Arabidopsis thaliana: one gene and its partner. The protein of the gene in region 2 interacts with the protein of the main gene of each other region in a pairwise test. Each region holds a gene or a part of one and is shown on either strand. Other genes may lie near its edges.

The links.
Region 1: the proteins of HB24 (region 2) and AT1G76510 interact in a two-hybrid assay, tested with the Arabidopsis thaliana proteins (one large-scale study listed by BioGRID).

Annotation. Positions count from the first base shown.
Region 1 is NC_003070.9:28,707,696-28,718,336, reverse strand, and holds AT1G76510 (ARID/BRIGHT DNA-binding domain-containing protein), read left to right. Parts: upstream 1-5,388; 5' UTR 5,389-5,603; intron 5,604-5,826; 5' UTR 5,827-5,838; coding exon 5,839-6,234; intron 6,235-6,371; coding exon 6,372-6,505; intron 6,506-6,607; coding exon 6,608-6,647; intron 6,648-7,024; coding exon 7,025-7,077; intron 7,078-7,157; coding exon 7,158-7,272; intron 7,273-7,483; coding exon 7,484-7,576; intron 7,577-7,940; coding exon 7,941-8,063; intron 8,064-8,150; coding exon 8,151-8,199; intron 8,200-8,283; coding exon 8,284-8,347; intron 8,348-8,620; coding exon 8,621-8,687; intron 8,688-8,872; coding exon 8,873-8,923; intron 8,924-9,138; coding exon 9,139-9,231; intron 9,232-9,314; coding exon 9,315-9,406; coding exon of another isoform or gene 9,407-9,410; exon of another isoform or gene 9,411-9,544; coding exon 9,545-9,656; 3' UTR 9,657-9,998; downstream 9,999-10,641. Other genes in the region: AT1G76520 (Auxin efflux carrier family protein), read right to left, coding at 1,048-1,172, 1,259-1,497, 1,618-1,718, 1,812-1,904, 1,978-2,127, 2,218-2,339, 2,430-2,554, 2,629-2,708 and 1 more.
Region 2 is NC_003071.7:7,967,940-7,978,058, forward strand, and holds HB24 (homeobox protein 24), read right to left. Parts: upstream 4,143-10,119; 5' UTR 3,972-4,142; coding exon 3,183-3,971; 3' UTR 3,087-3,182; downstream 1-3,086. Other genes in the region: AT2G18330 (AAA-type ATPase family protein), read left to right, coding at 51-199, 442-976; AT2G18340 (late embryogenesis abundant domain-containing protein / LEA domain-containing protein), read left to right, coding at 1,461-1,609, 1,865-3,086; AT2G18360 (alpha/beta-Hydrolases superfamily protein), read right to left, coding at 8,909-9,035, 9,108-9,175, 9,313-9,402. UniProt on the Arabidopsis thaliana protein: Putative transcription factor.

The DNA of each region.
Region 1 (10,641 bases), on a different chromosome or scaffold from region 2:
AACCAAACGACGATAACTTATGGAGAAATCAAATGAAATGGTATAGTTACCTTTTTAGAGGAAGAGTGAAGGAGAGATATAGAGTAAGTATTATTTTTGTTCCGTATGAAAAAACCAACGTATCATAACCACCAACTCTTTATCTGAGAAAAAAAGAATACAAATTATAAGGGAACCATCGTCATGCCTTTAGTCACAGCGACTAGGAAACGTGCCATGTTACTTTGTGGTTCTTGCTGAAGATGTGGATATGTCGCATTGTGTTTACCGTATGGTAAAGAACAATAACGTTGATTTTAAAAAAACTTCTGTTGTTGTCATCTATTTTCTGAAGAATCGTTTCATAAACTAAAATGTTTCAGTACTATAATTTTTGTTTTTCCACAGTTTCACTAGCTACAAATTTATATATTACATATAGTATATCTTGGAGTCTAGCATGCACTTTAGCCCTGATGTGGAAGGTTATACATCAAAATCTCAAATATGACGTGATGAGACATTAATTGATCTTAGAGTACGATTAGGTTTGAGATACATGGACACAGATGTAAAGAAATTTATCACAAAATCCACCAATTAGAGCTTTTTGTCACCACTCTTTTCTCTCATCATTTGTACTCACTTGACTGATATGTAATAGTCTATTAAACCAAATGTAACAATCTGAAATTTTTCTCAGGTGTACCAAACTAAACAAAGGAATAGCTTTCTGCCATGGCCACAGTCACAAGTAGTCAAGTAGATTGTTCTCTGGTTTTACCCTGTTTCAAGAGAGAATGATTTGGGTATCATAACAGAGATTTTAAGCCTCACAATCTCTTGATGGATCCCAAGACAATGAGGATCAAAATAGCAGATTCTTGATGAGGCTGGACTTGATCTTCTATCTGTAAGTTACAGACTGTAAGTCCAAAGTTCGTATCAAAAGACTTATAAGTATATGTTCTCTATTATACTTGATCCAATCATCTGGAAGTCCAAGAACAATTCTTGAATCAATGGAACAAAACAATACATGTAACATGATGAGTATGGGGGTCTATTCTAAGCTACAAGCCACATGAAGAATGTTGGCCAAACAGTGAGTGCAATCGAAGCCAAAGAGTAAGTCCAGAGCATAATCACTGAGCATTCACTCTCCCCAGTTCCAAATAACTGAGTAATTGTACCTGCAAGAGTAAGTGAAACTAATGAAGTGATCTTATCTGAAAGAAGTAACTGTATTTTTTAAAGAGTTGGTTTCAGAGCAATGAACCTAGATTCATGGCTGGTGGGACAGCATATTGAAGAAGAAGAACGAATTGGTATAAGGGCTCTGATGTAACTAAATCCAACTTATATGCTCCTCTTACGATTAAAACACCGCTCATAGGCAGTAAAACGTAACGCGCAACCAAGACGCCGATAATACTGGACATTTTCATTCCTGAACTCCTCAAACCTTTGAGTAGGTTTCCTCCTATAATCATGGTCATTGCAGGAACTGCCCCATCTCTTCAGCCAAAAGAAACAAGACACATAAGAAGCTTTCGAATGAGTGAGTTACGTTTTTCCAAGAGATGATTCATTGTTGAGCTAATGCTAAGATAATGGTCTAATTTTAGCTGCAGTTACCCCACTAGAGTTACTGAGTCTTGAAGCACCCGGAGAGGAGCTTCCGTGCCGATTATTAGCTTCCTTAAAGGAGTAATGAGCCCGATCACAAGTGCAATCATCTGGAAACAGAAGAACAAAAAGGGTAATTAGAAAGATTACACTAGTGTGAGTGACGTCTCAAATGTATAAAACAGAGCCATTGAAACACAAACCGCAGCAATAGTTGATGGAGCAAAAATTGTCTTAAGGTTGACTTTTTGTGACAGTGAAACCAATCTCCGCTTGACTTTTTCCCACCTCCCAGCCTGTCATATACACACAGTCACTACCAACTTTGATAAATGAATAGTTACTGATCATGTGCATATGTGATGAAACCTTTTGGTTGTTTTCTTCTTCCTTGGAAGAAATAAGGGGAACTTTGTAGCTGTCGTAGTTGGATTCAACAGAGGGAGGGGTTTCAACGGGAGAGTTCGATAGCACACGCATAAGATTGTATACATAAGTCCATATGTAAATAGATCCCATCTGATACGTTACCAAGTACTGTCATGAGACATACTGATTACAAAACCTTGAAGAAGAAGAAGACAAAGAAGAAGAAGAAGAAGAACTTACAGCCATGGAGAGAGCAACATAACCCATTCCATATTTCTGGCAACTCTCAGGATCTCCAAAGGGACCTCCTTTTTCTTTACAAACAGCTGGGATTATAATCAGTGGCATATTCCCCAAATTCCCTGTTTTGTTTCATTCATTACCACAGTCATAAGCAAAACACAAGTTAAACAGATTCTGAAATCAGAAACATTCATGTTAAGGTTTGTTACCAGCAGCACAACAACCAAGAATGAGACCACGAAGGTGTGAAGGAGGCTTAGTGATGACAATAACAATCCAGCCAAGTAATGAACCAATGATGAATGTAAGCAGAACATTCACCGGCATGAACCACCTGCAAATCCTCATTTTCATTAACCAAAGAGCAAAGATTACAGACTCAAGATGCAAAATCTGAGATTGACTTACATTTTGACCAAGCTTTCGTATGTAACACTATCAGCTAAACGGCTTCCAATAAGCGAAGGACTAAACACATAGAAGACAATCTATATACACACACATCAAGAAAATGATAACAAAACAGAGACATATTAAAGTTGAATCATTTAGATTTATTAAAGAAAAGAGTAAAATTAAGTGATAATTAACTGACGTTGTTCAGATATTTACGAGCATCATGACCAAGAAGATTGACTCCATCGAGAGCCATATAAAATCCGACTGATGTTATCAACAGAATCTCAACGACTGGTTTTGATGAAGTTATGAACAGCTCCAAAAGCTTCACCATCTTTTTACTATCAACGCGAGAATCTGCAAGTATAAGTTAACTGTAGCAGAGGAAACAGAGAATCAATGGAGCTGCAAGAACCGCCGAAGAAAACAGAGCAATCCAAGAAGGGAATGAATTTTTTAACCGATTTAGAGGAAGAGAGAGATTTATCGTCAGTGGTACAGCTAGATGACAGTGAGAAGCCGCCGTATCAGAACTTTCTCACTCTCTCTCTATGAAAGAGAAAGAGCGTCTCCAAAATTTGGCCTAGTACAACACTTGCATGGTCGCCTCTTCATTCTATTTAAATTCTTGTCTATCCACAAAATGCTTTTTTCAAGAAACTAATCTCTTTATTTGGGGCAAACTTAGAAACTAATCTTTTTAACTAAGGTAAATTATTATTCTATGCATATGGGAAGAGAATTTCATATTTTCATCCTACATATTTTGTATGTACAACTTGGTGTCCGCATGATCCGGGTCAGACTTTTACATCTTCTTTGTTTTTGGAATTGTTTTGTTCCGTATAAGCAACAAAATAACGTATCATAGATTCATAGTTAGCTCCTTTTTGAATTCCAACTTTCACAACTTATGAGTTATGATATATCTCGTAAGTTTATGTCCTTTGATTTTGTATATTTTCCAATTTTTTGTAACCTAGTTTATGTACAAAAAGAAAGAGGAAACAGTTCCACAATTTTTGGAAAACTCAACTCAAGCGGGGTCTTTGTTTGTTTCGTATATTGTCGTATAACACTATTGAGAATAATAAGGCTTTATCTGAGAAGACGAATTTATATGGTAACCGTCGTCATGCCTTTCGTCACATCGACTACGAAACGTGCCCCATGTTTTTTTCTGGTTCTTGCCCAAGGTGTGGAGATATTGCAAAGTGTTCATCGATTGTTGAAGATTTATTATTTATTTTATTTTATATATTTTTTTAAAAAAAACATTTTTCTTTTTGTCATCTATTTTTAAGGGGAATTGTTATAAAAATGTACATTTTCATATGCGTCGTAAGAAATTTGAAATGGAAACAAAACTGAATGAGAATAAGATAATAGTGTGGTGGCTTAAATTAATTGTGTGATGGAAGCGTACCAACGAAACGATCGAATATTAATGATAACGGAAAATTCAAATTAGTGTGTGAGGCTGCGACCAGTGTCCGTCCATAAAATTCAATGCAAGATATAAATGTAACAACCCCAATATCAAAATAGTCGACTAATTCTTACCAAAAAAAAACAATTAGCGAATAATTAGAATTATCATACAGTGCTAAAAATATGTATATATATATATACGAGATACAAATATTTAAGTATATATTGTCAAAGTGCAAATTTTAGTGATTTATTAATGAAAAATACACAATAGACTGGATAATTGTAGAAGTGGGATATATTATACACACTACAATAAAAATCTCTTATGTGACTCGAATCCTATAACTCTTCTCATGTGAAGCAAGAGATATTAGACCATCCTTAATTCCTTATATGTAAGCTTATTGTATATGCAACAAGCCTAATGAAGGCCATGTCATGAGCTATCTTCTTATTTATCTATCTTATTAGAGCATGAATAAACTTGTTTGTATAGGATTTCTACTCACACAAGAGACTTGTGAATATGTATTTTTAAAGAGGTTAATTAACAGTATTTGATATTTCTATGATCTCATAGCTATGAATATGATGATTCAAAGAACGTGAACAAAAGATATCTGTAACAAAAAGAAAAGGACAAAGATATGTCAAATTGAAATGCTCCACTCGTTTTAATGTCCGTGAATGAAAATAACAAACTTGACATATATTGAAAATCTTGATTTGTACTATTGGAAATGTGGGGCATCAAAGACTATTATTCCCTAAAAATAATGGTCCTTAATTCATTAGAATTTTGGACAAAAAGCTTTGCTTAATTCTGTACCATTTTGCTTCGAATGAATATGCTCATACTATTTGTTATCCTTTGGATCCACACCAATTCATTAAATTGCAATTATTTGTCACTTTGACAAGTACTATACCTACATACTGAGAAAATCATCATCACCATAATTGTAAAGTTAATCACGTTAATTATATGCTAGCTAGTCTATAATTAAAGATTCAAACACTATATTTTTTTGGTACAACAAAAACTCTATATTGAACATGAACGCACAATGCTTCGATATTTCTTTCTCTATCTTTAGTAACAAATAAAAACACAACAACAATCGAGACAAGCAGAAACCTACGTTGTCTTCCGTGTTTAATTGGGCCTAAGATTATATTCATAATATACCTTACATATTGAGCCCATAGTTTACAATAATGGGCTTTGTTATGTAAATGGGTCGTAAAAGTCCAACTTTCTGAAATATCATTAATAAGTTTTGCTATTAAGATCTTCGTTAAGAGTTAATACAAGTAACAAGCATTAATTTCTTTCTTAATGAATTCATGTGTTCATTATATCATCCGTATAAATCTTTTGATCTGCATATCTCTCCGTTTAATTGATATCTTTCCGTTTCTCGCTTCTTTTTCTCCGCCGGCGTCCTTCCATTTCGCCGGCTGCTATCGAACCCTAACCCGCGACGACTCCACCGTCTCCGGCGTCTTCTTCTTCCGGCGAAACCGGTAACCGTATCTTTTGTTTCTATGTATGTACTCCATGATTTCGTGAAGCTCTGCTTTCTAATGCTTTAGTCGCCATCACTGTTTGAATTATAGCGAATCAGTGAGAGAGTAGGACTCAGAGTTTTGATGCGTTCCAATTCTCGATTACATGCGTCTTGCATTCTCTCTGGAATTATCAATAGTGCGTTTCTATTTATGATTTCTGGATTTTGAATTCTGCGTTGTTGTTGTGATGCTATGTCTCAGAGAATTAGCTTCATGATGGCGGATACTGAAATGCAAGAGCAAGATGTGCCGTCTGGTACCAAAGGTGTTGTAGAGGAGCCTTCAGAACTAGAGAAAGACCTAAACTCTATTGAAAGACCTAAGTCCCCTGTTCCAGAGGATACGACTCATACTTTGGATAGTGATGTTCATTTATCTGATGCTCCCATTGCTAATCAAATTGAGGCTAATGAAGAGGTTGGTGGTCAGAACAGTGTTGATGGGAGGAATGGTGATGTTGATCAGTCTGAAAAGAAGATTACTAGTGATGGCGGTCAAGAGGAGACAACACTTGGGGAATCAAATCCTTTGAAGGGGGATCCGTCGAGTCCTCATGTTCCTGAAGAAAGTGTTAAGAAGTGGAAGACATGGTTGTTGAGTGATGCTGAGGTGATGAGAGCACTTTTCTGTCACATTTCAGACAACTAGTCTGCCTGCATTTGCGTTAAGCGTTGAATATTGTTTTTTGTGAGATCTGTGGTCATCACAGTGGCTCTATTTCATCACGAGTTCACGTTTTTATACAGGCCAGGGAAGTTGATGAAGCAGGGGCACCACAGGATCAAGAGGCGTTTATTAAAGAAGTGGAGGCCTTCAACAAGGAGAATTTCCTGGAATTTAAAGCCCCAAAGTTTTACGGACAGCCCTTAAATTGTCTCAAGTGAGTTGTTGGAAGTGTTGCTTTAATTCTTGGAAAATTCCATACTTTTGGTTATGCCTTGTTTGACGTGATAACGTCTGCATGCTTTACTTTGAAATGTAGGCTTTGGAGAGCCGTTATCAAGTTAGGTGGCTACGATGTGGTAATGATCTACTTTCGAACTTCCAATGATTTTATGTTTACTAAGATCTTCTCCTCCCTCTTCCCCTTTAGGAGGTTAAAAATCTTTTAGATTATTATCTACAGGTCATGCGATTTATACGTTTTGGGTTGTATAACGTGTGAACTATAGCTAATGAATGAGAAGATGATTTAAGAACAAGGAATGGCTTCCGGAAATAATTAAGTCAATGCAGTTATGTGTTAATTATGTTAGGTCTGTGTTTTGGCAACTGAACTTGCTTAGTGTCATCTACTCTGTTTGAAAGTTTATACTCAAATCTATCCCACCGCCCACGTTGCTTGAAACTCTATGTCTGTGGTATTCAAAATTCCTATGATTTTCATTTTCTTATATAGGTCACCACATCTAAGCTATGGCGGCAAGTTGGAGAATCGTTCCATCCTCCAAAGTATGGCTTGTATTGTCCTCAATCTTCAACCTTTTCCGCTTTCTTGTATGAAATTGACTTTCCACATTTTTGTTATTCAGAACATGCACTACAGTCTCCTGGACATTCCGCATTTTCTATGAAAAGGTGAATTTCATTTTTGGTCTAAGTACTGAATATGCATTGATATTAATGAGGTTGTACTTGTTCAGTTTAGTTCATACATGTTCGATTCAGACAATGTTCTTTTGCTCCTTTTGTCAGTAGTGTGTCTGAGACTAGCTGGTTTCGTTATCATTTATGTCGTGGTTTAGTAGCCTTCTAACAGTTTATTTGGATTGACTCCTTCCTAACATGGAGTCTGGTTGATTTCTATCCTATCAAGATGTGGAAATTTCATTATTTGTATCCTTATTTCCAACCGCAGGCACTTTTGGAGTATGAGAAGCATTTAAGGCAAAATGGTGAGCTTAACCTTCCTGGTTCAGCTTCTCTTCCGTCTTCAGGCATTGAAAAGGAGGTTAGAATTCCTATGAAATTGTGTAATTCTTATGCTTTTGGGTAGGTGAACACTTTGAGAGGAGGTCAATTTAAGAGTAGGTAAACCATGTTGTTAAATTAGATAAAGTGAAAGCTCTGCAGTTCTTTATAAAATCATTTTATACAGATGGAAATTTCGGGCATGAGTAATATCAGCTTAACATGTTGAATACTACTCTCTGCAATCTGATTGAATAAAGCTGTACCGTTTTGTGTTATATGGGAAACATAAGAAATAATATGTACACAACACAGCTAATTACCAATTTAAGCTCCCTAAAACAGAATTTTAAACTTTATATGCCTTCCCTTTTTCTCTCATTGATATAAGGGCACTTATGTAGGCAAGTAGCCATCAAGCTTCAGGGTCAGGCAGAACAAGAAGAGATGCTGCAGCTCGTGCTATGCAAGGTTGGCATTCTCAGCGCCTTCTTGGATCTGGGGAGGTTACTGAGCCTATTGTTAAGGTTTCTATTTAGACCTTACCACGTTTCATAATTCACCATGCACAAACTTACGCTTCAACATGATTCTGTTTGTACATATATTTTCAGGAGAAAGGCTTGAATTCAACCCCAAAGCAAAAGAACCTCAAAAACATTGGTAATATTCCTAAGCGATGGCTATTGTTCTCCACTACCTACAGAATGATTACCTAATGCCACCGTGTATAAATGTTCTTTTCAGGTGTGCAGAAACAAAAAACAACAACCGGCATGGACCTTGTTTTTTCACACGAATCAGAAAAACAGTTACGAAAGATAATCATCTCCTGTATTTTTGTGTTGCTTATGCAAGATTGCTTTACCATGTGCAATTCCATACAATCTTATCCATCGAAAAACCCTGCATTGTCAATGTTTGGTAGATCACAAGCACTGTTTTCTGGGTGGTAGTTGTAAGAACTGCCATTTCAGAAATAGCGCAGGAGATTAAATGAATACAGAGAATTTTGTAACTTGTCTTTTCATTTCGTTTATTATAATCAGAGCAAAAGATTGATAATATGGTTTTGGCTTGATAGGTCAACTGCCGAGGTTATAGATGTTGGACCCCCTGCAGACTGGGTGAAGATCAATGTCAGAGAAACTGTGAGTACCACTTCCGCTTCCCCCCTCATATAATGCAACGCTTACCCAACTCTTGAAACTAGAGACATGAGAAAGAAAAAAAGTCAAAAACAACACTGCCTGAAGAAAGGGAAATAACTGCAATCTGGGTTTTTGTTTTGAATCTGAAATCTTACCAAATTTATTTTTGTTGTCTTTATTTACAGAAAGACTGCTTTGAGATATTTGCCCTGGTACCTGGACTTCTTCGCGAAGAGGTGAGCTTTTCTCCTTGGAATTCAATCTCTAAAGCTTCTTTGATCAGTGTTTTGTCACTGGAGTGTTACTGATTCCTACGACATAGATGTGAACATATACTGGATTCGAATCTAAATACACACACTGTTGTCCGTTGTAATGAATTTCATAGTAATTTTTTGTGTGATTGCACACAGAATCTAGTTCCTCAATATAAGTTGATTTCTTCTTTCAGGTCCGTGTTCAGTCAGACCCTGCAGGGCGGCTAGTTATAGCAGGCCAACCTGAGCAACTTGACAATCCTTGGGGAATCACACCCTTCAAAAAGGTTAGATTCTAACACTCCAAACAGAGCCCTAGTTGCTAATTGAAGGATAGTTGTCAATTGTTTTCCGATTTTGGTTATGGTAGGTTGTGAACTTTCCCGCAAGAATCGATCCGCTGCACACGTCAGCGGTTGTGAGCCTGCATGGTCGACTGTTTGTGCGAGTCCCATTTGAGCAGTGACCGGTCTCATCCCAAGTGAGCTAGTTCTTTATTTGTCTCTTTGTTTTCTTTTAGGAATTCGTTTGTATCAGAACTAAAAACAAACGATAGCAAATGTGATAGTTTGACTGTGACTTGAGTTCTGAATATTAAAGTAGAGAAATGAATATTGATGTTCCATATAAAGTTAGTAAGGAAGCTGTTCCTTATACCTTCAAGTATGCAACCAACAATCACAGTGTCTGGTATATATCTTTTAGAAAATGAAGTTTTCATCTGTTTTCTCTGTTTATTTCAGTTTCAGGTTTCACATAAAGAAAACTTACAATTTATAGTTCAATCAAGTTAAATGGCTCCTATTGTAGGAGAGTACTGAAGTTTTATGGGCTGGAAGCTTTTGGGTTGAGTTAAATGGCCTGAAAATTAGGCCTTAGATGTGTCGTGTTGCTTTCGTGATCCACAATTGCATTCATATATATATATATATATATGATGAGGAAAGTCAAGAAAATTTTTTTTGAAGAAAAAAACTAAACATATTATTGCAACTTCCAATTTGCATTAGACCCAATATTATATATTTACATCTAACACGTTTTGTGATTTTTAGATATTCATGCTTATCTATTTTCTGTTGACATCAGACAAAAATTAGCAAAACATTCTATTGTAATAGTTAATAATATGTGACTATACTACTATAGTATACAATTTTTGTTTAAGTTCTCTCTTTTTACAACCGTGAGATTCTTGGTCGAATTCATACCAATCTTCAGAATTTATGAAAAAGTATGATATTATTTTCATGTAAAACAATTACAATAACAAATCATACTTAAAAATGTTGTAGTTCGAACCATGATCCTTTAAGTAACATATGTTCTTCAAGCTCTATGGCCCACACAATAGTGTAGACCTTCTTCTTTTTTGGGTGTAAAATAGTTAGTAGTCTAGATAGTGTAGAACATATGTTACTTAAAGGATCTATATATCTATCCAATCATAATTCGTATATATAGGGAAACCTTCACATTTACGTTTACTTATCAGCCGTTCGTATAAAACACACAATGAACAAGATTTCTTAACCCAATCGTTGCTCAACTGCATGTAAGGCACTTGACATGAGCACATGGATATCTTAAAAAGATAAAGTCACAGTGCATGTATCGAAAAGGTCTCAAAGTACATTACCCTTTATTCTCTTTACATGGTTGAAGCCCTAAAATGTCAAATATATGAAAATTATGAA
Region 2 (10,119 bases):
CCATTACATGCCTCACTTATTTACATCTGTTTGATTATTTCGTTCTGCAGGGTCTTGATTATGCTATGATGACAGGAGGAGATGTTGCTCCTCTTGGTGCACAGGCTGTTACAAAGATCCATGAAATATTTGATTGGGCTAAGAAATCAAACAAAGGGTTACTGCTTTTCATCGATGAAGCTGATGCTTTCCTATGCGAGTAAGATGCTTTCACCTTTTACCTCAAGCCTTCAGTTATATTACTGATTCTCATCTACTAGACCTCTAAAATATAGAATATAGTTGAACAAAAATTTCTTGTATTCTGATTGCAAACACAATTCCACAATGTAGTATAGTCGCAGTAGGATCAGTGGATTGTTCTTGCGCATTGTTACTTCTACTGTATCTCCAGAGTTCTCTTGTCTTAATAGTTATCAAATTCTTGATCTTTTATCACAGACGTAACAGCACTTACATGAGTGAGGCTCAGCGCAGCGCTCTGAACGCGTTGCTCTTTCGAACCGGTGATCAATCGCGGGACATAGTCCTTGTCCTGGCTACAAACAGACCTGGAGATCTCGACAGTGCAGTCACTGACAGGATCGACGAAGTTATCGAGTTTCCTCTCCCTGGTGAAGAAGAACGCTTCAAGCTCCTCAAGCTCTATCTCAACAAGTACCTAATGGGTGACGACAAGAAAGGTGAGAAAGACTCAAACCTTAAATGGAGCAACTTGTTCAAGAAGAAGAAGTCACAGAAGATAACCATTGAAGGAGACCTAACCGACCAAGTGATTAAAGAAGCTGCAAAAAAGACAGAAGGCTTTTCTGGTCGTGAAATCGCTAAGCTTGTCGCCGGTGTTCAAGCTGCGGTATATGGACGACAGGATTGTGTCTTGGATTCCCAACTTTTTGAAGAAATTGTGGATTATAAGATCGAAGAACATCACCAGAGAATCAGACTTGCGACTGAAGGTGGCCAATCGTTTCCGTAGATCTTTTTGTATCACCGAATCACTCCGTTGTTTCGATTCTATTAAACTGAAATAGTAACATTGTTTGAGTAACCGGTTCAATTTCGGTTAGCTGGAATTTGGTCCAATTTTTATCGTAGGTTTCCCGGTTATACAAACCGCTTCAGACACATGTGATGTGACCTCTCTAATCTTATTGCTTTCAAGTTTCAAAGTGTGGTCTCTGAGGGGAACACGGCCAGCCGTATAATAGGACACGTGGTGAATACTCAGAGAAAGCTCCACAACCAAACCGCATCCTTGGTTGCCACGTAACCTCGTGCAAACACGTGGCGAACAGTAACCGCTTCTCGGAAAGACCTCTGGTCTTTGGATTCGAACGTCTCTCTATAACTATAACTTCCGAGGACATTGGAACTAGGATCAAAACTTTTTAAAAAGGGACAAAACTAAATTGGTCATAGCAAATTCAAAGAAGTTTGATTCGGAATCACTGGTTAAAGAGATGATGGAGAGAAGAAGAACGGCATTGGTATTGTTTGTGGTAGTGGTGGTGTTGACGTGGCAAGAGGGTGTATTGGGGAAATGGTTAGAGTCGACGGCGAAGGAAAAGACCGGTTCATGGGCTGGTTGGGTCTCCGACAAAATCACCACGTAAGTGATATCTAATATCCGAAACTGAAACACACCTGTGGTTGAATCTGTCCTTTACGTAACCATCACGTTGATCCAATTCAGTCTATACTTTCTCTCATTTGGATGTTAAGTACGTGTTTAGTGAGATTAGTAATGTCTTATTGCGTTTTTTATTGGAATCTTTAGATTCGTTCACTACATTGGATATTTACGCATGTATTTGGCCGTAGTTAAGTGAGTGATTGAGAGGTAACGTTTTACTTCTTTTCCCAGTGGATTTGGTACTAAGAAAGAAGAAACAGGAATTTATCAAAAATCTAAAGATGAAGCAAGAAAAGCGGCTCAAGCCGCGGAAAACTATGCTTATGACAAGGCAAATTACGTCAAGGACTCTGCTTACGACAATGCAGGTTACGCCAAGGATTTTGCTGAGAACAAGGCAGAGTACGCAAAGGATTTCGCTTATGACAAGGCTGGTGATGCAAAGAACATGGCATACGAAAATGCGGGCTATGCTAAGGATTTTGCATATGACAAGGCTGGTGATGCAAAGGACATGGCTTATGAGAAAGCGGGCCATGCCAAAGATTTCGCCTATGATAAGGCAGGCAATGCTAAGGACATGGCCTACGAGACAGCGGGATATGCAAAGGATTTCGCCTATGATAAGGGAGGCTACGCGAAGGATGTTGCCTATGATAAGGCAGGCAATGCAAAGGATATGGCATATGAGAAGGCGGGAAATGCGAAGGACATGGCCTACGAGAAGGCGGAACACATAAAGGATTTCACATATGATAAAGTGGGATCTGCTTACGGAAGTGCACAGAGTATGATGGACTCTGGTTATGATAAGGCCGGTGATGCCAAGGACATGGCCTATGAGAAGGCAGGCATAGTAAAAGACATGGCATATGATAAAGCGGGGGATGCAAAGGACGTGGCTTATGAGAAGGCTGGCATTGCCAAGGATATGGCCTATGATAAGGCGGGCAATGCCAAGGACATGGCCTATGATAAGGTGGGATCTGCTTATGGCAGTGCGCAGAAGGCAAAGGATTCTGGTTATGAGAAAGCTGGTGAGGCCAAAGACTACGCCTACAAGAAGGCTGGCAATGCAAAAGACATAGCTTACGAAAAGGCCCAAGATGCAAAAGACTTTGCATATGACAAGGCGGGTTACGGATACGACAAGGCCGGTGATGTGATTAGGATGGCAACGGATAAGAGCGGTGAAGCCTATGAAGGAGCCAAAGAAAAGTCAAAGAGTGCCAAAGACACGGCAGGAGAAGCAATGGATGATTCTATTGACTACATGAAAGACAAATCACACAATGCCAAAGATGGAGCAACTAGAGGATTTGAAGAAGCCATGGAAAAAGTCGGCGAAAAGTACGGTGTAGCCAAAGAATCCACAAAATATGCTTATGAAACCGCAAAGAAAAAGGCTTCTCAAGTTGCGGGAGAAATAAGAGACCGTTATGCTGAGCTCTAAAATCAATTTGTTATACAATAAACACAAAGTCTTTAAGTTAAAGCAATGTTGAACAAAGAGAAGTAAAAATAGTATATATATATATATAGAAATCTCTTACAAATCCTTCTTCTTTGCTGCTTGTTTATTGTTGTGCATCCAAACTTTAAACACTTGTCTTTTAACTTTAATCTCACGACAAAACCGATTCACTTCATCATCTTCTAGTTTTGTCATTCTCCAACCAATCTTCTCAGCAAACTCCATCATCTTCTCCTTCTGTTCTTCATTAAACTTTGTCCTAAACCGTTTCTTGGGTTGATAATGATGAAACTGATCCACTCCATAACCACTAAAAGATTGATGAAACTTGTTTAGATCCTCCGTCGATGACTCCGCCGCACAACCACCACCACCACCAAAACTCATCATTATCGGAGACACGTGGCGGCTTCCGAGTGGTCTCTGTGAATGGCCAAAGCTATTGAAATTGACAACAAACAAACCATCGATCTCTTTTCTATGGAAGCTCCGGTGGCAATCACAAGCTGCACAAAGAAGAGACTCCACCGTGCCTTCTTCCCCGGAAGACATAAACTCGCCGCAACCGTCGACAACGTGTCCACCGGAGCTCGCCGCGTGATTCTTTTGGCATTCTCTATACCTTGCCTTCCCCGGAGAAGTAGTTTGAGGCCTAGCGTATGATCTTGGAGCATGAGATATAGAAATTGGGTTAGTATCAAGATCCGGATCCGGATCCGGGTCCGACCCGTTTCTTTTGGTGGTGGGTTTCTCTTTGTTGGCGGTTTGGGAGTAAGTGTACGGAGGAAGACGATGATGATCTAGAGCTGATGATTTTCTTCTTGTCATCTCCATTTTCTCATCTTTCTTCTCTCTAACTTCCATCTTTTCTGATCTTGAAGCTTCTGAATAAAGAAAACCCTAATATATAACTTTTCTCTTAAACAAACATTAAAACTTTCTTAGTAATCTCTCTCCAAAACCCTAAGCTATTTTGATTAAAGAAATCATCATAGCTTTAGCTTCTCATAAACCTATAGAGAAAATGAAGATGATAAATATCTCTTCCAAAGTTGAAACCTTTTTAAAAATTTTGACTTTGACTTTTGTATTAGTGATAGCCCACCAAAACCTACTAGACTAATCTCAAGTCTACAAGCAACTAAATTAAAGGGGAAAACTTATCTAACCCCATTTAAGAAGAGATCAAGAAAAGAAAATAAAGTTTAGGTCGTTACTAATGGAGAAAGAGAAAAGAGGAGAGAAGAAGACACTATTGGTCCTTCTAGAGAGAGAATTAGAGAATCGTGTTTCCTATTGCCCATCAATTTCCGAGAGAGAAAAAAAATCTAATGAAGGAGCCAAGTGGGTTTGGTCTGTGCCAATAATAATAATAACACAGTCCACTAAGAAACAAGAGATGGAGAGAGAAAGTAAGATGTGGACTTGTAGCAGACAGTGCCACGTTGTTTCTCTATCATACAGTGTCCGCACATTGGTCGCAATACATCTTTCTTTTATTGGTTTTTAATGTTGAGTAATGATAAAATTATCTTGTGTTAATTAAGTCGAATGTCAACAATTAGTATAGTTGATGAGATTAGTGTCTGTGGCTTAGCGTAAAATTAGCGATGTAAGTAGGTTTAGTACGATCAGTGCAACATATTATGGTGCATGCATTAAATATTGTTTGTAAAATAAAATGAAAGATTGAATACCTTATGAACATTTACTTTGTAAAATAAATAAGATAACCAAAATATTGTTTGTAAAATAAGCGAAAATCGAATTGGTCGAAATATTTGTAATATATGGTATGGTCTCTTATCTACTTTGATCTGATTTTTAAAATTCAGACAACCAAAATAAGATGATTTGGGCAGAATTTTTTCTCAACTCTTTTATTTTGCGCTAATTAGAGTAACCAATCACATTCTTAATGTTTTTTTCCGTACACACCCTTAATGTTTAAAGTTATGAAAACATACAATAAATAAAAAAAATGGAGTAATCGACAGTGTTTTGACCGGATTTGTGTTTCATAATGCAATCCTTACACAATTCTCATTGGAGAGCTTTATTTCATTTTATTTTTTTGGGAAAAACTGGAGAGCTTTTACCGGACTTTTAATATATAAAAACTTATGAAAAAAATTCTTAATAGGCTTTTCTTCCACTTGTCAATTTATATTTAATATTAAATTTTTCATTTTAGTGTAAGTTACATTAAAATAACAATATTTATTGTTAAGATATTCAAAATAAGTATCTAATGGATGAGAATTATGGTTTAGAAGAATAAATATAAAATCAAAACAAAAAAAAAGAACAGAAAGTGGACGAATGATGTTCTACTTGACATATAAAACTAAAACTAAATCTTCAAACCAAGATATATATATATATATATATATATATATATATATATATATATATACTTTTAGTTACGGTTGATTTCTCCAAAATGGAGCCAAAAGATCAGTAGACCATGATAGAAGAACAAAAAAAGGATTTTAGTGCTGGATAATGATTATGATTCGTTGATGACATACAGGATTATTATCATTTGTTTAGTTAGTTGAACAATTATATTTAAATTGAATGGTCAGTCTAGATACATGTAACTATATGCATTTCTCATGTGCGACATATCTCATCCCATATGCTGTTCCTCGCGGCCACACGTTCGGGGAAATCTAACTTGATTTTTTTTACAATAAACAATACTAGTACTTCGTGAAGAAAAAGAATTACTAACATTTTGAGATTCTTAATTTCTAATAATGCCTTTTTTAGAAGAAAAAAAAATCAAAGTTTAGGAGAGAGGAAAATAATAATATTCTAAAGTTTACAACTATCATCTAAGAAACTAGTATATATCATTCTATCATTGTACTTTTTTAAATATAACATTTATCATTATACAAAAAAATTCATAACATCCTATGAAAAATAAATAAAACTTAGGCTTCTTTCATTTTTTAAATGTGAAAAAAACAGACACAAAATCTTAATAAATTGAAAAGGGAGGATTATAAAGGAAACAAAGCCTCATTTGAAACTTAAGTATAATTGTTTTGAAGTATATTACTGATATCTATTTAATATGATTATATATTTATATATATGTAATGATAATCTATTTTACAATTAGTAGAAATTATTATTTTTATTGATATAACATATTTTTTTATGTTTCATTTAATAACATTTTATGATTTGGTCGAGTAATTTAGTGATTCTTTTTATAAAAAAAAATAGTAAGGAGGAACATTGGACCAGACAAAAAAATACCAAAAAAATACAGTAAGGAGGAACATAAATTTTGAAGAAAATAATAGGAATGACTTCTGTCATTCAAAAAATGATTAAAAATCTTTTTGTTCAAAATGTTTCATACAAAATAAATAAATAACATGTTATTTTCTAATCATAGCTCATCATATAGAGGCCAATTTCCTTTTTAGATTATAGCAATATATTACAACAAGAAATTTATATCTAAAAATAGACTTATAAATTTTAAAAAACTAGCTAATAGTTTGTTGATTAAACAATTAAAGTGCTAGATTTTTACTTAAACATAAAATAATATGTTATATTAATGATATTATTTTTACAATTAATGATATTATTTCAATTTAAGTAAGAACTAAAATAACAAATTGATTAAACAATTAAAGTGCTAATTCTTTTATTTTTGGATGACATGACATTTAAGAAGAAACTATGTTGAATAGTGAATACAAAGCACAAGAATCTATTAAAAAAAAATCTTTAAAAGCAAAAAGTCATATGCTAATCAAAATGAGTGGAAAGTTCCATCTTGAAAGTTTTTCTCCTTGATTAATCCTTGTGATTATAACTCATTACAGATGTAAAACACATAATGCACAAAAATAAAAATTCATGATGTTACTATGTTGGTTAAAAATTATTTAATTAATTTTTATGATATAGTGAAAAATAAATAACTGATTGTAACTTATATGTGATCGATTAAGCTCTAACGTATATAAGAAAACCATGCCAAAAATGGTATACAAAATTTTATATTATGACTTTAAAATTTCCAAAAAATTCTAACATAATGTTGATTAAATTGTTCGTTATGTTTTATTTTATATACCAACACCATAATTTATATAGATAAACAGAACTGGCGTAAAAATACATTAAAAATATATATCTACATGACCAGGGGTAATGCATCTGGATTCTCTGTCTGGTAACAGAATATTTTCTACATGAATTTAAATTGCTATTGTGTTAAAATATTTCTCTAACCTTTACTTTTCTTAAACATGTCGGCAATGACAACTAGTTATGGATCAATTTCCGAGCAATCAGATAAGAGAAATATTAAAATAATTGTATACTATTGTGTATCTGCTATAATTATATTTATTTTAGAGTATAAAATAAAAATGTTTGTATGGTAAAATTCGTGTAATGCACTGGGCATGCACGTGGCAGTTCCCCAGCCTTTTTTCTTGCACTCTTTGACCGAGTGGCGAGTGTTAATTGCTTTTACTATGGTTGATGACACTCTAATTACTAGTAGTTGGACGACAGCAGGTAAATCAGTAAAGTAATCATGCTTATTAAAAATACTAGGAGTATTATTTTTGTGTTACATTAAGCTCACCCTTAAAATAGATAAATGCAACAAAAGATCTATTTACTTCTAAGACATTTCTTAAAATTATTAAGTGTAGAGAAGAATGAAGAAAACTTGATTAAAAAAAATTGTGTGTTTGGTCTCTAAAACTGAGAAATTGATGAGAGTTTAGAAATGAAAGTCACACAATATCATTACTCTCTCGTTTTTGTCAATAATTTATTCATAACTGATGTTACAGTATTTATTTTAATTTTTATTTTCCACTAGCATACTTGAAAGGCTGAAATGAACCCAAAAACAAAAAAAACAAAAACAAAAAAACTTTAAACAAAAACTATATACCTAATACCTAGATAAACGAAAAGTAAAAGAACTCCAAAAATGAAAGCTAAACGAGACTAAAAAAGAAACGCACCAACTTGCTCACTTTGAGTTCTTGAAGCTCAATGACAATCTGGTGGAGCCAAGCCAAGTGATTTAAGGGAAATTTGATTTTATGTTCATTAGATTTTAAGAAGAATATGCAGTGGTTCTTCTCCTCAAGAAGAAGAACAAAGATGTGAGAGTAATGAGAAGAAAAAAAACGAAAGGGTTATTTCGTATGCTTATAGTAGTTGAAAATAAGGCAAGTATTCAGATATATTTAGAGTATCTCCACCAGTAGTCTCTCAATGAGATACCTGACAAAAAAATATAACTAAAAAATAAAAAGTAAGAGAGAAGGAAAAAAAAGTAAGAGAGAATGAGAGTTGAGTTTCTCGTAGGAGAAACTTTGAGAATCTATTGTCATCCAATTTGGAAAGTTGTCATCGTACTATTAGTTCAACTATTAAATAACAATTATTATATATGTCTTAATTAAAATATTAATATATTTTTTTTTGAGAAACTTTCCTTACTTATACTTAAATTCTTGATGATAGAAAAAAAAAAAAAAAACATTTTAGTGGATTCAATATGTCTTCGGACCCATTGACACTTTTGTAATTGGGCCGTATAGATATTAGGCCCTATAACTAGAAGATCCTCATTCTCTGATTCATAGAAAATCAAAATACTAGTGACATAGAATTGAACCATAGATTATTTTATGAAATATAATATATCAGGTTACATTATTTTGAAAGAAGAACTGAAACCAAAGAAATAAGATAAATAAATTCATTCGGTGTTGATGTGAGAATCGATTACATCCAAATTAGTTTTCGGAGTAAACTGAAGCAAGAAACTTTTTGAGACGTCTGTTATAGACACAAGGTCTCTCCAAATGTGCCAAGTGACCTGCTTTTTTTATACTCTCCATTGTTGCATTTTCGCCTAGTTGCCTTTAAAACAAAATATAAACGAGACTAAATTTATGTAATTAAAGAAGAAAAAAGTACTGTATTGAAACTTACTCTTTCATGCTCTTGGCAAATTCAAGGTTAAAAATTTGATCACTTTCGCCCCACAGAAGATGTATTTTCTGCCAAACCAAAAAAGAATAATAATATCAATTGATGCGTTAAGTAGTAAATTTTAATTATATTTTAGATTTAAGTTGTATAAATATATATAGCATTCTTATAGTATGGAGAAATATTATTTTATATATGACCATACCTGTTGAAAACGAGGGATTGTCACATCTTTGTTGCTGATGACCAAAGCTTCTAACAATTCTGCTCTTTCCTTCCTATTGGTAATCATCACCTTCACATTTTGCAAAAGAATGTATATTACGACAGCACGTCCAAACTTAGCCCCGGGCGTTCGGATATTCGGGTCGGGTATTTTATGTTTAAAAATTTAAGATCCGTTCGGGTAATTTAAGATTTTGGGTCGGGTTCGGGTTCGGGTTCGGGTTTATTTATATATTGAAATATTAAAATTTTGTATGTAAATCTATTAAATTACTTGAAAATTTCAAAAATTTCTAAAACAACACCTGTAATTTTGCTTGAATATATTTAAAAATACACAAAATAACTAAAATATCCAAAAAAATCCTAATATTTTCTATATATAAGTATAAATATAATTAATATATACTTATATTTGAGATATGTTTAGGTACTTATTCGAGTTCGGATTCGGGTTTTTCGGGTTTTGAAGTTTAGACCCGTTAGACTATTTTAAAAGTTCGGGTCTAGGTTCGCATCAGGTTTTTCGGGTCGGGTTCGGATCGGTTCTTCGGGTTCGGGTATTATGCCCAGGCCTGACCAAACTGATTCTTAACTAATGATTAGGAGTTCATAAATATAAGTTTTTGCAAAATTAATAAATAAAAGGTCTCGGTAGGTATAAAGTTAAATATAAAACCACATACCAATTTTTCTTTTTTCTTTTACAAACATATATATATGACTAACTTGTCTATCTTTTGTCGTTAGAGTTTGTAAAACAAAGCTAAAACGACAAGATAGCTAC